Canis lupus familiaris: one gene and its partner. The protein of the gene in region 1 interacts with the protein of each later gene in a pairwise test. Links are inferred from orthologs where the notes say so. Each region holds a gene or a part of one and is shown in the gene's direction. Other genes may lie near its edges.

The links.
Region 2: the proteins of RNF135 (region 1) and CTNNAL1 interact in binary tests that used the Homo sapiens proteins (3 or more experiments, as listed by UniProt). The two-hybrid records come from large-scale screens. The link is inferred for Canis lupus familiaris from reciprocal best matches to the Homo sapiens genes RNF135 and CTNNAL1.

The regions. Positions count from the first base shown.
Region 1 is NC_049230.1:40,767,933-40,770,737, reverse strand, and holds part of RNF135 (E3 ubiquitin-protein ligase RNF135), read left to right. Parts: intron 1-767; coding exon 768-930; intron 931-2,805.
Region 2 is NC_049232.1:64,526,862-64,530,773, reverse strand, and holds the start of CTNNAL1 (alpha-catulin), read left to right. Parts: upstream 1-1,214; 5' UTR 1,215-1,296; coding exon 1,297-1,419; intron 1,420-3,150; exon of another isoform or gene 3,151-3,238; coding exon of another isoform or gene 3,239-3,271; intron 3,272-3,912. UniProt on the Homo sapiens protein: May modulate the Rho pathway signaling by providing a scaffold for the Lbc Rho guanine nucleotide exchange factor (ARHGEF1).

The DNA.
Region 1 (2,805 bases):
TGGTAGAGACTTTGATGGCCTTTGTTCTTTTGTTCATTCTTGTAGCCCCAGGCCTAGCAAGATGCTTGCTGCACAGCAGGTGCTCAGCAAACACTCACTGAATGAGTGGAGACAGGGTCTTCAGGGCTGCAAGGTGTTGAGGGGGAGGAAAGCCTGAGAATCTGACTTTCACACTTGATCATTGCATTGGTTTGATGTGAGGATGAAAAAAAGCTCTGGTCTAAAAAAGTGCTCAGAAAAAGAAAAGTGCTCAAGTGGTAGGCAATTGCAGGACAAAAAAATTTACTGTGGTGACTGAGTTCACCATGAGTTGCAACTTCTTTGGTAAAAGGGAATAACCAACCTATGGTGGAAGGTTGTTCTACAAATTAGAAGTAAGCCAAAGAAAGTACTCTCTTTGCCTGTGTCTCTGCCTCTTTCTCTTTGTCTCTTGTGAATAAATAAATAAAATCTTAAAAAAATAGCTTATATATATATAAAAGAAATCCATATTTATTGTACAAAATACTAGAAAATACATAGCAGTTTAAAGAAATCAAACATCATCCACAACTCCACCACCCGTAAATAACCACTCTTTAATACTTTTGGCTGCACTATGTGTTCTTCCATATTGCTTTCATGTAGTTTGAGGGCCTAATTATGTTTTTAAAAATTTGTGAGGAGGCAAGTAGAAAAGTATAGATGGCAGAATTAGAATATACTAACTTGATGCATACCTTAGGAGACTTCAATTAATTAATTTATTTTTAATGATTCATCAATAGTCTTCTTCTGATGGGGCGGACCTTGCCTTGGCTTCTTCAAAGCCAGTGACTTCTGACACACCCGAGAGAAAAATGAAAGACATTCTGCATGACCTAGAAGAAATCCAGAAAAAATTACAAGAAAACTTCACATGGAAAGGGGCCCTTGAAGAACATCTGCAGGGTGAATTGATTTTATTTTGGGAAAGAGGATTAACTATGGAAGTTGGGGGAAATGACAAAGTGTTCCATGGCTTTGTTTTGGGGGGATGAGGATCCCAGAGCCCAGCTGTGGTGTTGTAAATGAGGAAGGAGTGGGCTGAGGTGTTTTTGTGGCTAGCTATGTGTTTTGGATGTAGCTGGAGGTGTGATGTAACATAAGCCTTTAAAAGATAGAAACTCATTTTCTGAGACCTATACATCCAGAATCTAGACCTGATTTTGCTGCTTGCCTGTGTTATCTACCTGGAGATTCAAAAATAGGCTGCTTTTTATGTTTAATTATTAAATGTCTTTGTTAACAAAGCATGCAACTTTGTAAATCATCCTTGATAAGTTCTATTAAACTGTCATCCCTGGTGAGTATACTAATAGTAAACAGTAACAATGCAGGAAAGAACCTCTCTGTCCTGACTTTGTAGGTTCTCTATTATAACCCTTGTCATGACTGAAGAACAATTCACACCTGCCCCTTAGACATTAGCCTGGACTCCTGCTCTGCCTCCTGCTCCACTGCCAGCTTTCTATACTTTAGAGACATGTCTCTTATAACTCTTTCTATGTTTAAATGATCTTACTCTGCTTAAAAAGTTATTTTTTATTTAGGTGGAGAAACATGATCCCTTGGGAAAAGTTTCTCAAGGAAACAAGTTAGAACATACTTTATTAGCTGCTGCAAAAATTATCTGAGAAATAAGTGCCCTCTTGGCTCCTGTGTGCCCCTAAATTTAGATTGGGTTCCTTAGTGATCTTATTTACTGACACATATTTGAAATCAATATTTAGGGGCTCCTGGCTGGCTCAGTTGGTGGAGCATATGACTCTTGATCTTAGAGCTGTGAGTTCAAGCTCCATGTTGGGCCTAGGGATTACTAAAAAATAAAATCTAGAAAAAGGGAGAAAGAAATGTTTAGATTTTGAGGTTAAATTTAAAATTTTAAATTCAGAAATCAAAACAATATAACAGCATACAATGAAAATCTCTTTCCCACCCTTGTCCAATTTTCCTATTGCCCCTGTCTCAGTTAACCACTTGTATTAGTTTCTTGAGTTCCCATTCAGAATTTACTTGTGCGAGTGACAGTTTAAATCACAGACAGGGGGTCATGGGTATTCTGGGTGTTAGAATGCTGTGACCTGCTGGAACTGTAATTTATTTGATAGATATGCATCTGACACTTACTTCCTATGTAGCTGGCACTACGCTTGGTGCTTAGAACATAAAGGTGAACAAGGTCTCTACCAGCAAGAAGCTTCGAGGGAAGCTGTTACCAGGGAAACGGGCAGTAAAAAAAAAAGGTCCATGGTGAGAACATGGGGCTGAACATACCTGAGCTGGATGTTCTGCCTTGATCCAAGTCTGACACTAAAAAAATCCACTAAAGAAACGTGATGAAGCAGGGCAGCCCCGGTGGCGCAGCGGTTTAGTGCCGTCTGCAGCCTGGGGTGTGATCCTGGAGATCCAGGATTGAGTCCCACATTGAGCTTCCTGCATGGAGCCCGCTTCTCCCTCTGTCTGTGTCTCTGCCTCTCTCTTCACTCTCTCTGAATGAATAAATCAATAAATCTTTAAAAAAAAAAAAAAAAAAAAGAAATGTGATGAAGCAGACAAGCCATATGCCCTGATCATGATGTTTGGATACCTTCTATTTGCCTTTTTTTTTTTTTTTTTAATTTATTTATTTATTTTTTTTATTTATTTATGATAGTCACAGAGAGAGAGAGAGAGAGGCAGAGACACAGGCAGAGGGAGAAGCAGGCTCCATGCACCGGGAGCCCGATGTGGGATTCGATCCTGGGTCTCCAGGATCGCGCCCTGGGCCAAAGGCAGGCGCCAAAC
Region 2 (3,912 bases), on another chromosome or scaffold:
GGTAAAAGTGAAGGGGTGGACTCGCCAGCCTCAGATTTTCTACTCTGCTAGTTGCTTATTGGCAGATATGGTAATTCACAAATATTTCTCCATGTCTCTCAGTACTTAAGCCAAGGATCCCCTCACAGGGTGGTGTGTGTTTCTGACAACCTTTTGGCTTTGCTTCTGGAACTCCTGGGGAAAGGGGTGGTCTGTTCTCCGTCCCATCTGATCATGTCGGGGCTTCCTGATTCTTAGCCTTACTGTTAAGTGGTTTAGTGAGAAATGTATACTAATGATCTTCTCAATCGATAAACAGCCTTTAGGAAACTACTCTGTGCTAGGCCCTAGGGGAGAAGCAATCCTGAAAAGTAGTCTTAGGGGCGCCTGGGTAGCTCAGTCAGTTAGGAAGCCGACTCTTGATTTTAGCTTAAGTCTTGATCTTCGGGTCATGAGTTCAAGCCCCCTTTGGTGAAGCTTTTCCATATGCCCTAGTTAATTTCCTTTTAGCCTAAAAGATACCCAAATCACTGCCTCGTTGCTACGAACCCAGACGTACTCCTTCAGACTGCATTACCAGGGGATCCCTGGGTGGCGCAGCGGTTTGGCGCCTGCCTTTGGCCCAGGGCGCGATCCTGGAGACCCGGGATCGAATCCCACTTCGGGCTCCCGGTGCATGGAGCCTGCTTCTCCCTCTGCCTGTGTCTCTGCCTCTCTCTCTCTCTGACTATCATAAATAAATAAAAATTAAAAAAAAAAGACTGCATTACCAAATGTTTCATTCTCAATCCAGCCCAAATTGTGAGAAAGATAGGGTCAGAGGAGGAGGAGGGGGAAATGGGACCTACAGGAGAAGCTGCAGAAAGACCCTTTTTCGTTAGAATAACTGCGTCAGGGTAAAAGACCCTTCCGGCAGACTTGACTGTGGTTCTGCTCCACCAGTTAGCTCAGCTTCCAGAAGTCCTCGTGGGAACTCGGAGTTAAGACGAGTCACCTACCAGGAGGACGAAAAGCGTTGCTGGTGGCAGGTGTCTGGTGTGGCGGGTCCTGGCGGGGACCAGATGGAGCGGGGATGCGGGGCGGACCCCAGGCCTGAGCGCGTGGGGGCGTGGCCCGGGCGGGGGCGAGGCCTCAGAGGGGCGTGGCCTCGGCGGGGCGTGGCCTCGGCGGGGCGTGGCCTCGGCGGGGGCGTGGCCCAGGCGGCGCGGTTCCCTGGCGGCGGCGGCGGGCGTGCAGGCTGGCGGGCGGCGGGCGGCGGGCGGCGGGCGGCGGGTCCGCAGTGGCGCGGCGTCCCGGCTGCGCGACGGGCCGAGGGCCATGGCCGCCTCCTCGGGCCCGGCCGGCGTCGGCGGCGCCGGCCCGTCGGGCTTCGCCTTCGACTCGGGACTCGAGATCAAAACTCGTTCGGTGGAGCAGACTCTGCTCCCGCTGGTCTCTCAGGTAAAGCGGCGCCCGGCGCGGCCCCTCGTCTCCCTGCGGCCGCGGCCCGCGATGGCGGCGCCCGCTCGCACGGCCCGGGGCCCGGGGCCCGGCGGGGAGGCAGCCCTGCCGCACACTCCGCAGCACGACCGCGGCGTCGGGTCAGGTCGGGTCGGGTCGGGCCGCCCGGCGGGGGTCTGGGGGCCGGCCTCGGCGGCGGCGGCGGTCTGGACCCTCCGAGGTCCCGCGAGGCCGGGGGCTGCGCGGCGGCGGAGGAGACGGGCGGGGGCCGGGGGCCGCCCCGAGGGCCCCGCGGGCAGGTGCGCCTCCCGGCCTGCCCCGAGCCACCCGCGTCGGGATGCGCCCCCGGTCCCCGGCCCCCCCCCGCCCCGGTCCCCCTGGTCCTCCCGGCCCCCTCGACCCCCGGCTCCCCCGGTCCCCCCGGCTCCCCCTCCCTCCCCGCCCCCAGGTGCCCCCGGTCCCCCCGCCCCCTCCGACCCCCGGCCCCCAGCCCCCAGCTCCCTTGGACCCCCGATCCCCCGCCCCCGGTTCCCGCAGCCCCCGATCCCCGGCCCCCAGTCCCCGGTCCTCCCAGACCCCCCCGACCCCCGGCTCCCCCGGCCCCCAGTCCCCCCGGCCCCCTTGGCCCCCCCGATCCCCCCGGGCTCCCCCGGCCCCCGGTGCCCCCGGTCCCCGATCGCCCCGCCGCCTCCGACCCCCGGTCCCCAGCCTCAGCTCCCTTGGACCCCCGATCCCCGGCCCCCCCCCGCCCCCCACTCCCCCAGTCCCCCCGGTCCCCCCGAGACTCCCCGCCCCCCCGCCCCCCACTCCCCCAGTCCCCCCGGTCCTCCCCGAGACTCCCCGCCCCCCCGCCCCCCCCCCGGCCCCCAGTCTCCCTGGTCCCCCCCCCCCCCGGCCCCTTTGGCCCTCCCCGGCCCCCGGCCTCCCCGGTCTCCCCAGCCCCCGGTCCCCCGGTCCCCCCGGCCTCTCTGGTCTCCCCAGCCCCCGGTCCCCTGGTCCCCCCGGCCTCCCGGTCCCCTGGTCCCCCTGGTCTCCCCGCCCCCCACTCTCCCCGCCCCCCCGGTCCCCCCGAGACTCCCCGCCCCCCCCCCGGCCCCCGGTCTCCCTGGTCCCCCCCCCCGGCCCCTTTGGCCCTCCCCGGCCCCCGGCCTCCCCGGTCTCCCCAGCCCCCGGTCCCCCGGTCCCCCCGGCCTCCCCGGTCTCCCCAGCCCCCGGTCCCCTGGTCCCCCCGGCCTCCCGGTCCCCTGGTCCCCCTGGTCTCCCCGGTCCCCCCGACCCCCCCGGCCCCCGGCCCCAGCGCGGGCTCCCCCGAGGCCGACAGGACCCTGCGGGGCCCACACGCCGGCTGCTGGCCACTCCGGCCGGGGCGTTCGTGCGGGTGTCCGGGCCCAGCGCGCTGTCCCCGAGGCCTTTGTCCCTGTGCCCTGCGCGTGTCGGCTCGCTGGGCGCCCGTTCACCCCGGGCCACCCTGCCCGCCCCCGCCCCCGCCCGTAACCTGCCGCCGGCTTCAGGCGGCTTTTGTGTGGCCTCGGCAGAGTGCCGCGGAGCCCGTCCCTCGGAGCGTCCGGGTGCGCGTCTTTCTGCCAGGTCCCGTCTGGGATGCGTGCTTTATTGTATCTGTTGGTCGTAACAGAAGCCTGGAATCAGCTAATTGGCCGCGCGGAGCCTTAGAGAAGTTTTTGTTGTAGAAGTTCTATGCAGCCCGCGGGCTGGAATTCCTCGCCTGGCTGCGCGGTGATGTGCCAGCCCTGGGGGAGTGGAGGATTCGGGCCTTCAGCGCGTTGGCGACTGTGACTCACAGCCAGATTGTAATGTCTTGATGACTCACGCTAGTGTTGCCAAGACTTTAGAGGTAGAAGGTACCTTAAAGGTTATCTGACTCTAAATTAAAAAATTCTTTCCTCCAGCATCCTTACACCTGGTCACCAGTCTCCTGCTTAAACATGTTCAGTGATGGGGAGCCCGTAGCGGTTGCGCAGAATTTACATGTTATCTCTTCTCCATCCCAGCCCTGCAAATATTTGAAAATAGCAGTGACACATGCCCCTGGATTCCTGTTATGCTGATTAAATAAACAGCTACTTTTCTCCTTTCTTCTTTTCTTTTCTTTCTTTCTACCTGTGCTCACTTTAGCTTTGCTAACAGAACAGTGAATGAATACCTAACACTACCACCCCTCCTTCCCTTCCATGTCTGATACAGTCACTGACCTGGGGAAAGGAGTACTAGGATCACTCCATAATCTGATCAGGACAATCTGCCCGGTCCTCCTCCCTCAAAAGAATGCCACCAATACAACCACAACCCAGAATGAGAAATACCGGAGTAGTGTAAAGAGTGATAGGAGAGTGGTGGAGTTCAACTTGTATATATATATATATTTTTTTTTTTTTACAGTATTTTATTTATTTAACAACATGTGTGTTGCTTACTATATTTTAGGGCATGGTCTAAGCACTTTATAAATATTAACTCCTTTAATTCTCATAACAA